Linked DNA regions of Rhinolophus ferrumequinum. The protein of the gene in region 1 interacts with the protein of each later gene in a biochemical or structural test. Links are inferred from orthologs where the notes say so. Each region holds a gene or a part of one and is shown in the gene's direction. Other genes may lie near its edges.

What was found. The genes of interacting proteins can lie anywhere in the genome.
Region 2: the proteins of PSTPIP1 (region 1) and PTPN18 form a complex in vitro, tested with the Homo sapiens proteins (2 studies listed by BioGRID and IntAct). The link is inferred for Rhinolophus ferrumequinum from reciprocal best matches to the Homo sapiens genes PSTPIP1 and PTPN18.

The regions. Positions count from the first base shown.
Region 1 is NC_046289.1:100,969,532-100,977,172, reverse strand, and holds the start of PSTPIP1 (proline-serine-threonine phosphatase-interacting protein 1), read left to right. Parts: upstream 1-4,406; 5' UTR 4,407-4,835; coding exon 4,836-4,871; intron 4,872-7,641. UniProt on the Homo sapiens protein: Involved in regulation of the actin cytoskeleton. May regulate WAS actin-bundling activity. Bridges the interaction between ABL1 and PTPN18 leading to ABL1 dephosphorylation.
Region 2 is NC_046293.1:91,748,932-91,756,937, forward strand, and holds the start of PTPN18 (tyrosine-protein phosphatase non-receptor type 18), read left to right. Parts: upstream 1-4,798; 5' UTR 4,799-5,234; intron 5,235-6,815; exon of another isoform or gene 6,816-6,835; intron 6,836-8,006. UniProt on the Homo sapiens protein: Differentially dephosphorylate autophosphorylated tyrosine kinases which are known to be overexpressed in tumor tissues.

The DNA.
Region 1 (7,641 bases):
AAGGTGCCACTCCACTGTGTGGAGAACAGACAGTAGTGAGCAGAGTCGATTTCAGGATGTGCAACTACAAGACCTGCTGCTCAGGAGGGCCCTGCATTTGGGGCTTAAGGGTCTGCAGTCGTCATCTTGAAATTCTTCACAATATTAGCTTCAAATTTGTGTTTTGTAAGTGAAGATCAATGGGAGACCAATGCAGCATCAAGGACTTAGAGCCTTGGCTCAGCTGCCTCCTGCCACCTCCCCTGGATGGGTTCTCAGCTTTCCCCTCCCAGCTCCCGTGCAACGACCCTGCCACCCTCTGCCCCCATCAGGGACATGGGTGCATGTGTGGGGAGGCTCAGGGCTGCCTGGTGGCATCTCAGAATGGGGCACAGCAGTGGCTGATGGCACTATACCACATTTGGCAGGTGACTTCCACTCCTGACCAAGTACCTAGTGCACCCTTGCATGAGTTTGCAAATACCCTTGGGGATTGCAGTCCACCTTGGGAAAGGGAGATGACTGGCTTGACTTCCCGGACCCCAGCTGGGGAATGGAGTCCGGTGGCTGATAAGGAAACCCAGCAGCTGGTGGGTTTTGCATAAAAGTGAGTAAACGAGAGGAGGGCCCTTGTCCTACAAGTATGTCCAGGCCCAACGGAGTGTAACATTAAACAGCAAATAAAGTACTAGGCCAGGCTAAGATAACATGGGAAAGGAAAACATTTATGTTTTAGTACATTTAATAGTAATTTCCCCCTGCTTTTTTAGTAAGAGGCCCACATTCTTATTTTGCATTGACCCTGGAAATTACATAGCTGATGGTGGTAGAGAACAATCAGTAAGATGAAGTGTATAAAATCCGTGCAGGTCCCGCAGCTATTAATACTACTTTAATGGTAGCCAGGATTATTTGTGTTGTTTATTTGGCTCAAAAGGATGGATGACGTGGCTTCAGGAGCTGAGCCCTGCTATGTGGCTGGCTATGACAACTGATATTGTGACAACTGATTTGGCATTTTATACTCAGTCCTTCAACCTACTACTTCTTGAATTCTTCAGGCAGATGTGTTCAAATACCGTGCAAAACAGGATGGGGCTCTGCCTGCACAGGGGGACTCCCCTTTAAAAAGGAGCAACAGCCTGGCTTGAGGCACAGCTGCCCAGTCCTCAAGGCAAACTGTTTTGCAGCAGCTAGAACAGTCATTAAAAAGCTGTGATTTTCAGGACTGGAGTCTCCTCCCCAGGGGGCTGGTGACAGAGGGACGCCCAAGAACAGTTCCCTTTTCTGAGGGGCATTTGTATGTCTCTGTTCTGATGTCTCACCTCCCTGATGTCCCATCAGCCCACCCCCTACCCCGGCTGCGCCATCCAGGGTCCATCTGTCTCTCAGGGATATTACAACAACCTCTGCTGGTCTCATCCTCTCTGAGCCATTTCCCATCTGGAGGGATCTTTCTCGAACCTGCCTGTAGGCTCCCCAAGGCAGAGACCAGGTGTGCCTTGTCTCTGGGCCCCTGTTCCGACAGGGTCTGGGAGCAGTCGGTGCCCACAGCGCTTGCGGAGCGGCTGGGGGGGGGGGGGGCGGCGCTGGTTGCGGTGATTGACGCCCAACACGCAGAGCATCTCCGTCAGGGAGTCCTGAGGCCAGTGGTGGTGACCTGTGAGCACGGGACTCATTTCTGGCCAATGAGACACCAGGGGAGTTCTCCTGGGAGGTTGGGAAGGAGGCGGAGGAGAAGAGAGGCTCGGGAAAGAGGGGACACAGAAGCGTCCTTTCTCCTCCTGGAGGTGTGTCGGTGTCAGGAGCATTGGAGGAGAGCTCTGCCGCCCCAGAAGGAGATAGTGAAGTAGGAGAATCACAGAGAAACGGAATTGGGGCCCGAATGGACCCCACGGAGCTTGCCTTCCCTCCAGACCCCTCGTTGGGACATGACACCCTTGCTCTGTGTCAGACCCTCTGGTTTTGTGTTCCTGCAGTCAAGGCACCCTCAGAGGGTGCACGTCACACAACGAGCCAGAAGACCCTGTGCCAGGCTTGGACTCTTGCCAAGTAGCACCGCAGGCCCCACGACGCTCCCTTGGCTTAGTTTTAACAGCTATCGAAAAGGGGAGAGGTTCTGGAGGCGTCACTTGAGGAAGGAAGGAAGACACCTGCTGTGCAGAGTGGAGGTCAGGAGCATGAGCTTTCACGTCACACAGACCTGGCCTAAAGGCCAGCGCTCCACTTACTGGCCACGAGGTGTCGGGTGAGTCACATAAACTCTTTTTTTGTTGTTTTTAGTACTGAATTACACTTTATTTTTTGAACTTTAAACGAAAAACAACCACACTGACGTGTAGTGATGTGAGAGCAACAGTGCTTGGTGTACTTTTTTTTTTTTTAATAATTGTTGTTTTTTTCAGTTACAGTTGACATACAATATTATATTAGTTTCAGATGTACAACACATACATTCCTTAGTCACCTGTTTGCTCATCTGTGAAGCAGGGATGGTGACAGTGTGCACCCCGCAGGGTGGGGGGAGGACTGTGTGAAGGGCCTGTAGAGCCTTCCTGTGCCACTGGCACTCAGCAAGTGCTGCAAAGCCGCATGGGCTGTTCCGGCCCAGCCCTGGAAGGTGCAAACGGTGGGGCGCTGAGGAGAGAAGGAAGAAGCCCTCTCCGTAGCAGAGAACTTTATGGTTTCTTTAGATGCCTGCCATTACTTCCTTCCTCAATTATTTTAGCCCACAACCCGCACGGCCATCCATCCGGGGCTGCCCCAGCTGAAACAGAGCAGTTAGGAAAGGAGGGCCTCCTGTGTGAGAGCCTTGAGATGAGCCTTAAGGGCTGGGAGGGCCTGCCCAGGTCAGGAACAACAAGGAAGGCATGCCAGCAGGGAGGCTGGGGGACAAAAGGGTGAGGTGTGGACAAGGAGTGTGAAGAGTACCTTTGGGGAGAGGGGAAAAGGCCTGTTGGGAGCAGAAATTTGTGGGGGGCTGATGGGAGGAACTTCTGGAGAGGCAGGGGAGAGAGACTGGCTACGAGGTGTTCTGCCGATAAGAAGGTCTGAGCCTTCTATTAACAGAGGATTTCTAGTCTGCCTGTAGAACTAGGGCATTATCCGGTTTGACAGGTGGAAAAACGAAGGCCAGGGAGGCTGAGTCAGAGCTTTCGGAGACGGGACGCCACTGGGATGAGGTGCAGTCTCTCAGCATTTGGCCGTTGGGGTTCAAGGTGATATTCATACCATTAGATGTCTTCCGCGGCAAGCAACAGAAAACCTAACTAGGGTGCCTTCAATACTTATTAGAAGATGTTTATTAGCTCAAACCCAGAGGTCTGGGAGACAGGGGGTTACCGGGGGCAACCACACCCCTCTGCGGTTCTCCCTGACGTGTTCTCTCTTGGGGCTATGTCAGAAGTATGCGTGTGCCCCATCTCCAATCCTGGGCACACATCTCTGGCACTTGGGAGCTTAGCTCTTGTACAGCAGTTTTCACTTGTCTCGTCAGTGGGGGTGCTCGCGGGGGTGCTGATTTGTGGACAAGCTGATTCATCCTTTCTTGTCAACTGGCTTTGGGCTCAGGAGCCCCTGCTGGCATCTTCTGTTGCGTGGGCAGGCCCTGGCCCCTCAGAGCTGTGTCTGGGGCTCCAGCCCAGGGCTCCTCTCGCGGTGGTACCTGACAATGCCCCCAGCACCTGCCCAGCCAAACCAGAAATTCTGGTAACGGTCTCAAGACTTTTTCCTTTCCAAAGACTGAGGGTGGCAGATGGGGAAACTGAGGCTCAAAGAGTTGGAGAGTCAATTAATATCCCTCAGCCAGTGAAGGGTGGGGCCCAAACAAAACAAAAACTGGGCCTCAACCTGGATTTTCAAACTCCTCCATCTGTATCTTTATACTACTCTCTCTCTTGGTCCAACCACATTCTTCCAGTCTGAAGACTCCACCTTCAGAGGGGGCATCCTGCCCCAAAGTGTCTCATCTGGAGACTTGGGGCTGGGGTGGGGAGAGTGCCCGTGAAGCCTCAGACGGTTCTCTCTTGGCCAGTTATCTACTCACCACACCTCGGTGCTCCCACAGTCCCCAGAGCCCAGCTGTGTCTGCCCCTAGATCGTGAGCTCCTTGAGGGCAGATGTGGATTGGGGCACCGAGAAATCAGGGTTTGATGAATGATGAAGTCCTAGGGCTGGGGAAGCCTCTCCCGAACAGTTTGCTGGTGAGGGCTGTAGAGTCTAGCATCTCTGCGCCTGATCGGGAGTGGGGCTCGGGCCCTGTCCTTGCCCACACCTTCAGTGGGCTTCAGGCTCCCTAAATGTACAGCCGTTGAGAATGGCCCAGTAGAGGGCAAGTGGAGGCAAGCAGCAGGGTGACAGTGGCAGGCGGAGCTGCACAGGGGAGCACACTGGCTCTACTTCCTGTGGGCGAGCGCCCTGGTACCCGCCCCCGGGGAGAGGTTGCACAGACCTTCCTGTGCAGCCTTGGGCTGCCTGCCTGCCTTGTCCGTGTACAAAACTATCTCTCCCTCTGGCCACTGCCTCCTACCTGGGGCTGGCATCCCTACTTAGTCCTGCAGCCTGGGAGGCTCTCCGCCACCATCACTGTGCAGCGGGTAAGGGGCCAGGCAGGACACCAGGACCCGCCGTCCCATCACCGGGCTCTGCTCCTTCCTCATTCTGCTGTGCGCTTTTCCTCCTTCTGGCAGCTCAGCTCTGGCTTGTGTGCCTCTTGAGGTGCTGCAAACAGCACCGGCTGAGTTGGGGGAGCCTGGGCCAGCCTACCAGGCAGGTCTGAGACAGTGCTCCTGGCTCCTGGCCTCATTCAGCCCTGTCTGTGGCAGGAAAACAAGTTTTGCCGCAGCATTTTCCTGAAGATGATGCCCCAGCTTCAGTTCAGAGATTCCTTTTGGGTGAGTGAAGACGGTCTGGGAATTTAACAGCCGAGTGCAGCTTGGCTGAAGTTTCCCCAGGGCAGATGATGGGGGTGTGGTTCCCAGAGAAGATGGGGGTGTTCTCATAAAAATACTGGTTGGTTTTTGGCCTTAATTGTGGGAGTGACCTGGGCCACTCTTCCTTCTAAGTTGGAAGATGAAGCGAGTCCTCGGCCTGGGGTATTGATTTCTCTGCAAACTCCAACACAGTGAGCAAAGGGGTATCCCCTATGCCCCCCCGGGGCTCTTTCTCCTCCAGGCGACCCTCTCCCCATGGCAGGATCTTCTTAGGAGAGTCTAATATGTGGGTGGGAGTTTGAGGAGGCCAGGCAAGGCAAAGGAAGGAATGGGGCACAGGTTTGGGGACAAAACAAACTCGAATTTGAATCTTGGCTCTGCTATTTAAAGGCTGGACAAGTCATTTTATTTCTCTGACCTCATTTTCCCCATCTGTATAGTGGAGATTAATATTAATATACATACCAGCTGAATGGGAGGGTTAAACAAGGTGATCAAATGTAATCAGGTCCCCTGCTCCTTGCTGGCACCCAAATGGTAACTCTCTTCCCTCACCCAGCCCCTCTTCGTGCAGCCCTTAGGGGCCCTTTGAGGAGGCAGCAGGGCTGAGCAATTCCTTGCTCGCTTTCTTAAATTCAATGCAGCTGTAAATAAAATCCTTTCCATGAAATAATGGCAGCCACCCGATTCATTGAGGTGAAATGGATTGGCTCAGGCCACACGGCCTGCAAGCCCAGTTTGGACCCCAGATCCCCTCAGCTTTTTTCTAGCTGTCCCTCAACCTTCCCATCTGCTCTTCAAGCTCTGGCTGCCCCCAGTGGCTCATGGAGAAAAGCTCAGACCTCTCTGGTTAGAGTTAATGAATGAGGCTGTTCCGAGGGCCCCCCTTTCCGTCCCAAGGAAGACGCCCTGGCCCTTTGGGTTAGCCAACAGCCTCCCTTCCCTGGACCCTTTTCTGAGTGACCTGCTTCACGCCTACATTGACCACACAGGGGGCAGAGGGCCATCTAGGGAGAGCACCCTGTGCCTCTCTGGATCTTCGTTTCCCCATCTCTACAAAGAACCAGGAATCAGCCCAGAGAAGCCGGGGAAGGCAGAGGTGGCCCAACCCATCCCAAGCACCAGGAGGGCAGCTACAGCTCACTTGGGGTGCGGTGGCTGCAGTGGGGGAGGCAGAGAGTGGTGAGTCACGTCCCCGCTCTGACTCGGAGTACAAGGCTGGGGAAAGGGGCAGGGCCTGGAAGGGCAGGTTGCTGTGTAGCCCGGGGCAGGCCAGGAGACCCTGACTGTTTTACCTCCAGGACATCCCAGGCCTGGGTGCCTGGGTGCACCTTCTCTAGGGCAGAGCTGAGGCAAGGAACAGCCCCATGGCAGAACCTCAGCAGTGGGGGATGGTGTATGAGGGCACAGGTTATGACAGCAGCAAGAAAGCAGCTCACCTGTGTCAGCGTCCTGAGCTGGCCTCCAATCACACTCTGCATGTGCCCCACCTCTGAGCTGCTCAGGGCTCCATGGCCTCCGGGTGCCCCCTCTCCTGCACTGCTGGCTCCCTGGGCCTGGGGCGAGGGTATAGCTTCCCTGGGGAAGGCCAGAGCTGGGAGAGAAAGAAGTGGACAGTGGGAGCCTCTCACACTGATCCTCAGGTGACCCCAAATGTCACTGTCAGCACTGAGGAACCCCTGATCCCCAGCCCAGCACAGCCCATGAAGACAACTAATACTCACGGAGCACTAAAGATGTGCCAGGACCAGGTGTCCACTTACTCATTTAAACCAATGAAGTAGATGCTATTGTTATCCATATTATTCAGAGGAAAAAAATGAAGGCACAGAGAGTTTAAGTTACTTGCCCAAGCTCACACAGCTGGGATTAAACCCTGGCTCCAGTGCCTGGGTTCTCATGTAGGGTGCTTCATTCCCCTCTATCAACATGGCAAGTCACTAAATCTTTGGGCCACGTTGGCAAAACGGATGGAAAAATTCTGTCCGTCCTACATCCCAGAGAAGTAAGAAGATCAAACAAGGTTGATAGAACTACCTTGAAGCTCAATTTACAGACAAATCTGTCAGACACAAAAGACATACTGATCTGTTGCTGAGGGAGTGTTAGGGACAGAGCCCAGCCTGCCCCTTCCCTGACTGTCACCCCCGACCCCAGGCCAAGGCAATGCCATTAAACCCTGCGGCTTGGCAGCACACAATATAAAAATGACTAGTCTTTAATAGTGGAAGGAAACCACTGAACTAGAAGAATCCTGTCTAATTCCACCGCACTTCAGTTATCTCGCAGCCTCAACTATCCAGAACACGAGTTGCCAGCTCTGTTTCCTGCAGTAGCTCACAGTAAGGAGAGAAATAGAAGTGGTTTCTGAGGAGCTAAGAGCTTGTATTAAAGCTCATATAGTTTACCCATAGGACATGGCTCATAGCTTTTAGTTAGGGCCTATGAACTCTGATTATACCCATTATTATTATTATTATTATTATTATTATTATTATTGAGATTCCAAGAGTTTTAGGAGCTGTGCGCCATGAAACAGGAGCAGAGACCAAATACATATTTCTCCACATGTCACAGGCAGATACTATCTGTATTAGTTATCTCTTGTTGTATAACAATATCACCACAAGCCTAGCAGCCTAAAATGACACACATGTATTTTCTCCCAGTTTTGTGAGTCAGGAGCCTGGGTGTGGCTTAGCTAGGTCCTCTGCAGTCAAGGTGTGGACCA
Region 2 (8,006 bases), on another chromosome or scaffold:
TATCACAAACATTGCTTCAAGAATGTCATGTGATTTCAGTCTCATGGGATATAAAATAAAAAGCAACAAATAAACTCATAGATACAACAGAATGGTTGGTGGTTACCAGAGGGACGGGGTGTGGGGTAGGATCAAGAGGGTCAAATGTGTGGTGACATAGACTTTGGGTGGTGAGCACATGAGCACACAAGTGTCAGACGTCATATTATAAGCTTGTACACCAGAAATTTATATGACGTTATTAACCAGTGTTATCCTAATAAATTTAATTGAAATAAAAATCATTGAACATACTTTTGTGCATTCTCATGCAAGTATATCTGATGAATAACTTCCTACAAGTGGAATTTTGTCTTTAAAATGATCATACATGCTGCTGAATTGTCCTTCACGAGACTGTCCTGGCCACTACGAATAGATCTGTTTCCTGTGTCCTTGCCAGCACTGGGCACTATCAGACTTGTCATTTTTGCCAAGCTTTAGGTGCAAAATGTTTCCTAATTGAATTTGCATTTCTTTAATTATGATGAAAGTTGTGCATCTGTTCAAATGCTTATTGGCCATTTGTGTGTTCTCTGTGACGTGTTTGCTCTTTTTATAAAAACGATTGTTCACCTCTCTACTGGTTGATTATTTTAAATCTTTTAATTGTGGGAAATTTCAAACATAGCAGACGGACGTGCAAGAGTCCATGAGCCCATGTATGTTGACCAATCTGGTTTCCTTTACAGCCTACCCACTTCCTACATCCACTCCACTCGCTTATTTTGAAGCAAATCTCAGACATCATTTCATTCATAAATGTTTCATATATCTCTAAAACATAGGCACTCAACAAAAATCATACCATTATCACACCTAAAAAATAAACAATTATTCCAAATACATATATTTATGTATCATATATTCCAAATATATTATTTCAGCTACTTAGTGTTGTTTGTCCCGAGTACAGGGTTAAAGTTGGGCAGAGATGCTGCAAGCCAGGATGCAGGGCGGCTTGACCCTGATCAAGATGCTGCCCGCTGACTGTCAGAACACTGGAGGTCACAGGAACCTGAGCTGTCAGCTCAGAGTCAGGGCTGAGTCGGCTGCCTCCAAAGGCACATGCTCCCTTCTGGAGCTCATTCTGGGTGATGCCCAGGCTCAGCCCTGGAAGAGGGGGGCCAGCCTGGGGAAGAGTTGGTATGAACATATTAAGGATGTCATTTTTTAAAAATAGGGAAGAGTGCTTTTTCCTTCCCTGCAGTTCTACTGCAGGGCAGTTCCTGAGGGTAGAAAGCTGGCCTCTTCAAAGAGCAGGGGTGGTGGGGGTTGGCAGTGCAACAGAAAGTAGGGTGGCTTTCTTTGTGGGTTGTGTTCCCCCAGCTCTGAGCTGCTGACCGTTTCCCCAGAAAGGGACCAGGAAGGATCTTCCATTCAGAACACAAACCGAGAACCCCTGAAGAGAGTCAGGAGGCTGAAACCAAAGCCCTCCCAAAGGCAGTTAGCTCCAATCACGGAAGCTGCCACTTTGTAACTGGAGTGACATTTTTCCTATTTGCCGAATGCCAGATTTGTGGATGGGCCATAGCTCAATAGCCCAGACCCAGCTGCAGGTTCTTAATAAAGGGAGCAGTGGGAGAATATTTTTCAAATTTTTTTCTGTCCTTTACTAGCAAAGGAAGGCAGAGAGGACTGTTAAGTGGAGATGTCAATAGTCTCAGAGTATCTCCCCACAACTTCTCAGATTAAGGTGGTGTCTGCTAGGTTTCCCCACCATAGTTAGGATTTTCTCCTTGGCAACATGAAGGCAGGCTGGATTCCTCTCAGCACAGCGAAAGCATCCTTGAGTACATTCCAGCACCCAGTCCACCTGGCTCTGTTGAGTGGCCAGTTCAGCAAGCACTCAGGTGGCAGACTGTCATGTGGCATGTAGGCATCAGGGTGCTCAGCATATGCAGGGCCATGCCATCTGCACCCAGTGCACAAGACTGCCACCAGTAGGGTGAATAAGGGGGCCACCAGAAGCAGCACATCCCACTGCAAGAACACAGCTTGTAGTCCTCTGGGAGAAGGGAGAGGTGGACCGGCTGAGGCCGCTGTGGAGGTTTTAAGGATCTTTCCATTCCCCACACCCAGCCTGCGTGGAAGACAAGCCAGGAGAGTTTGAATGTTTGGAGAGACGTGGAGGGATGGTCAGGAGGACAGGCAGGTTAAACAATGAGGGGGGCATGGAGTGCCCCCATGGGTGAACATGCAGCCAGAAAGACACCCAAACCAGCAAGAAGCATGACAGGTGGACCACAGCCTTGGCCACTTGTGTTTATAGGCCATAAGATCCCAGATAGGCAGAAAGATCCCCAGGAAGACAGACTTCTAGATAGAGTCCTGGGGAGACGAATAGACTCCAGCAGGACAGCCAGACAAATGGACAGATTCTTGGACAGATGGTAAGATGCCTAGCCAGACATCTAGAAAGACCTGTGGCCAGACACATGGATGTCCCCCCTACCCCATGTCCAGCCAACCAAAAGACAGAATCCCTCAAGGACAGCCCCCCTCCCACACACACAACTGGACAAAGAGATGTTATCCCAGTGGAGAGATACCCCACCTACCCAGTCAACTAGCCAGCCAGACCTTTAGCTTGACAGACTTAACCTCTGCCAGTAGGAAAGACCTCAGCCTATGTGGAAGCCAGGCTCTTGGAAGGATATACAGAGAGATCCCCTCAAGCCAGCTGGATAGACAGACCCTGAAGCCAGGTGGACAGATACACGCCACCCAGTCAGACCAACAGAGCCTACACCCCTAGGTGGACAGAACATCCTCAGCTAGTCAAACCCCAGTTGCTGGGTCAGCCTTCCTTCCAGTCACCACCATGGATGATAGGGATGGCCCACTGCTCCCTCAGTGTCACCTCTATCCCCAGGTACCACCAGTTTGCAGTAACCATTGACTTTCAATGACATCTACTACCACCAGGGTCCACAAAGCGCTTTCATGATCGCTCAGTGACTTTCCCATTTGCTCATATGCACTAGTCCCGAATGACTGCCATTAGTATCCATGAGGACTCAGAAATGCAGGAGTCTCTGTGACTCCTCCAGTGATCTCTTATTTTGTCAGAGTATATAGATACATCTGTATCCCACCTCCCTGACTAAGCCATGACCATCCACGAAATCTCAGTGATTCCACCAACATTCACTATTGTGTCCTGAGTAGGAGCCCTCAGTGACCTTCCCTGACTCTCTTGACCCCTCAATTACTTAAACTAAGACTCCAAATTCCAGGGGCCCCTCAGTTACTTTCACTGTCTTTTACTGACCTCCCAGTGACTGCTGTAACATCCAATGACAGTCCCCAGAAACATCCACAGATCTCCTACTGGCCTCCAGTGAATTCACTATCAATGTCCATCCTCAGTGATCTGACCACCTTTGAACCCTTAAAAATGAAACTGATAACCGGAGTCCACAGTGACCCCCAGTAACTCCTCAGTAAATGAAACAGCCCCACTGATCCACTTTGACCTTTCAGTCACAAACCAGCGTCAGCAAACCACAGCCTGCAGGCCACGGGGGGGGGGGGGGGGGGGGGGGGAATAAAGAATTCATGTGTTTTGTAACACATGAAAATTACATGAAAGTAAAATTTTAGTGTCCACAAATAAATAAAGTTTTATTGACACACAGCCACACTCATCCCTTTATATATTGCCTATGGCTGCTTTCACACTGCATTGGTGGAGTTGAGTAGCTGGCACAGACCACAGAACAAAGTCCTTTAAGAAAGGGTTTGCCCATCCCTACCTTAAACATCTTTCTGGTAACTCCCTAATGAATTAAATCCACAACGTGAACCATGACCCTGTTGATCCCTCATGACAAGGTACACCTCACCCACTGTCACCCCTTCGACACCTCAACGACCTCAAACTGGATTCTGCAGACACCCTCTCTATTGACAACTCCCTTCCCGAAATTCCTCCCGTGATCCCGGTAAGGGGTTGGGCTAGCCTACCTGCCCAGGCCAGTTCTTGGCCACACCCCTAGGCTCCTATCTGCTCTTTCCAGCCTCTGTTTGGTGACTCCGGAAGCTGGGGCAGCAGCTGTCCTCTGGCTTTTCCCTGCACATTTTCTGAAGCCCAGGGTGTGGAAAGAGAAAAAAAGATGCTCTTTGAAAGTGTTGAGACCACCTTGTCCCTGGAACCCATTTCCAGGCCTCAGTTCTGGGTTTCTCCGTAGGTATATGCAGATTTAGATCCTCAAACTACTGTGTTTCCCGGAAAATAAGACAGGGTCTTATATGAATTTTTGCTCCAGAAGACGCATTAGAGCTTATGATTTTTGTTATCCTGAAAAATCATGCTAGGGCTTATTTTCCAGTTAGGTCTTATTTTCCGGGAAACAGGGTAGGACTGGAATTTGGCGGTCCCAGCTCCTCCTAGCCCAACCCAGAAAAAGGACCCTCAGGAAATACTCGGATTCAGGAGCATCTGCTTCCACTCGGTCTTTCTCACAGCACGGGTGCCCGTGTGCCTTTTCCCCCCGCCCCCGGTTACCTTTCCGACTTCCCTTGGACCACACCGGAACTCACAGAGCGGGATGTCCCCCACCCCGGGGTCCCCGAAGCAGAAGAGGCAGCACCATCTCGGCGCCGTCTCCACTCACAGCTGCCGCGTGCCGCCACTCCCCTCCACCCCCACCCCCAGCCAGGCTCGCTCCCCGACGCAGCCTAGCCCCCAGGTGATGGGCCGGGGAGCCGGGTGAGGGCGCGCGGCCATCCACCCAGCTCGGGCACCAGGAGGAAGGTGCGCCCCGAGCGCGGATCCCGGGTCCAAGCGGGAAGAAGTGTCCGTGGACTGTGAGGCCTCAGTCGGGCCGGCGCGGCGGCCACAAAAGAGGGAAGCGCCAGCGCTGGACTCACTTCCCCAGGCCAGTGCGCCAGGACCATGTCGGGAAGTTGCCGCCGGGGTCTGGAAGCTTGTGAAAGAGGCTGGGAAGGCTCTGAGTGTCATTGGCCAAGGGGCGCCGGCCGCTGCGCGCTCCCATTGGCTGGTGAAATCGGAGGCGGGGCCTCGACCTCGAGCGGCACCGCTGGGGCTGCGAACTCCCGGCGCAGCTGCCCGACTGGACCCAGCTGGCCAGCCGCGCTATGAGTCGCAGCTTGGACGGGCGCAGAGCTTCCTGGAGCACTTGGAGGCGCTGGGCGACCGGGAGGGGGCGGTCCTCGCCGGCGAGTTCAGTGTGAGTGCGCGAGTGTGGACCGCTGCACGGGCGCGCGCTGCGGCTCCTCGCCCTGGACGGTCCGGTCGTCTGTCTTGTGCGTCCTGCCTCGCTTTGCCTCTGTCCCTCTGTCTCGTCTCTGTCCTCCCCTCCCTCCCTCCCTCTCCCTCTCTCCTCCTCTCTGTTCCCCCTCTCCCTCTCCCTCTCTCCCTCTCCCTCCATCTCCCCCTCTCCGTTTTCTCTTTCCCCCTCTCCCTCTCCCTCTCTTTCTCTCTCCCTCTCCCTGTCTCTCTCCTCTCCCTCCATCTCCCCCCTCTCCTTTCTCTTCCCCCTCTCCCTCTCCTCTCTGTCTCTCTCCCTCTCCCTGTCTCTGCTTCTCTCCCTCTCCCGCTCTATCTCCCCCCTCTCCCTTTCCTCCTTCCCTCCCCCTCTCCCTCTCCCTCTCCCTCTCTCCTCCCTCTCCCTCTCTCCCCTCTCTCTCTCTCTCCCTGTCTCCTTCTCCCTCTCCCCTCCCTCCCTCTTCCCTCTCTCCCTCTCCCTCTCCCTCCCTCTTTCTTCCCCCCTCCCTCCTTCTCTCCCCTCCCTCCCTCTCTCTCTCTCCCTTTCTCTCTCCCTCCCTCTTTCTTCCCCCTCCCCTCCCTCCCTCCCCCAACTCCCCGCGTCTCCTTTCCCTTCCCTCCCGCTCTTTCCCCCTCTTTCCCTCCCTCCCTCTCTCTCCCCCTCGTCCGCCTCCCTCGCTCCCTCTCGCCCCCCTGTCTCCTTCCCCGTTTCCCTCCCCTCCCCTCCTTCTCTTCCCCCTTCCTCCTCCTCCCTCTCCCCTCCCCCCTCCCTCCTCTCTCTCCCCCTCTTCTCCCTCTCCTCTTTCCCCTCTCCCTCCCCCTCCTCCTCTCCCTCTCTTCCTCTCTCTCCCTGTTTCCCTCGCCCTCTCCCTCCCTTCTTCTTTCCCCTCTTCCTCTCCCCCTCCCTCCCTCTCCCTCTCTCCCTCTCTCCCTTCTTCTTCCCCCCCCTCTCCCTCTCCCTCTCTCTCCCTCTCTTTCTCTGTCTCCCTCCCTCTCCCTCCCTCCCCCTTCTCCCTCTGTCTCTCACCCTTTCTCTCCCTCTCTCTCGATCTCTTTCGGTGTCTAGAGTGTCTCCTCGCCTCGAGGTCTCTCTGTTTTTCTCTCAGTAGCACCTCTCTCTCTGTCGCTCTTTATCCCTGTCTAAGTCTTCATGCTCTAACCGCAGGGCCCCAGAGGGCGAAGTCCATTGCCTGGCTGGGAGGGGCCGCACGCACCCTCAGGTCCCTGTGCCGGGGTCATGTTCCCCGAACCTTCGGGCTGCTGGGCGGGGTGGGCGGGGCAGGTGCGCACCTGCTCCTGACAACCGGGCGGTAGTCTCTCACTCCTGTGGTCAGTGGAGGAAGCTTCTGGGGAAAGAGGAACCTAGAGGCCCTGCGGCAGCGAGGGTGTGGACGGATGGCCACACAGGCCCGGATCGCCTCTGTGACCCTGGGGCGCTTTACCCAGTCCCTCTGGCCTCGGTTTCTCGTTGGGTGAAATGCGGATGCTGAAGACTAAACTGGCCTGAGGATGAAATAACTGGTGTGGGTAAAAAGCGCTTCGCACATCTTGCGCCCTCACTCTGTAAGGAGCCTTTGTCACTAGTTACAAATATTCTAAACATTACATGGGGTAGTGCAAGCCCTGTGTAAGGAATGCTGGTATAGCCTCATAGGCACCGTTTACTACACGTAATAAGATGTTTTAAATATAATTTATGTAATAGAAACATGCAAATATGTAAACACAACATGATGACATATCAAATTTAGAAATATGAGATATACAATAAATATATAAAAATAAGTTAGATAAATATATGTATGTAAATACTTTATATAATTAATAACTATATAATGATTCAGTACAATAAAAATAGGTAACAAATTTATGAAATAATTGTATTAATAAATATAAATATAGTGATTATGTAAAAATAAATATAGATTATAATTTATACAAACATAACTTCATAAAACAATAGAATAAACAAATGCAACATATAGAATTATAGTTTATAAAATAAGCAGTTATCCAATAAGTTCCTAAGTAAATATGAAATATATAACAAATAGATAAAAGTATAAAATAAATCTAAATAATTCACACAAATAAAATAGATACTTTAATGATAAATGTACAATAATACAAACTATATAATTTATTCAATATGAAAATGTGCATATTAGATGTAAGCATATAACACCCGGGTGGTATATGACGTCATGCCCATCCAGGTCTCAGTCCAGTCTGGGGCAGTGAGTGATGCTGAGGACCCGCTCTAGGGTGGGTGGGTGATGAGCAAGGCCAGCCCTCTACACTCACAGGAATCTCTGGGCCTCTCTAGGCCTTGGTTTCCTCATCTGTATAATAGAAATATCAACAGTAGCACCCACTGACACTAGGGTGTCCATGAGGGCTTACATGACCTGATGGGCATAAGTAAAGCACTTAGAATGGTGGCTGGCACCCAGTGGTGGCTCAGCAGGAGTTATTGTCATGATTGTGAATAATACCTGATGATGATGGTAATATGCTGTTTGCTAATTATAATAATCTCACAGTAAAAATGTTCCTATGGTACCTTATTACATGAGTAATGGTGTACATTGTAATTCATATACATTGCATATTATATATCATATTTTTGTTATATTAAATACATAATTTATCACAATCATTGTATACAGTGTAACACGGATTAAGTCTATACAGGGTGGATGCTGAGAGGTCTGAGTTCAACTCTCACTGTACC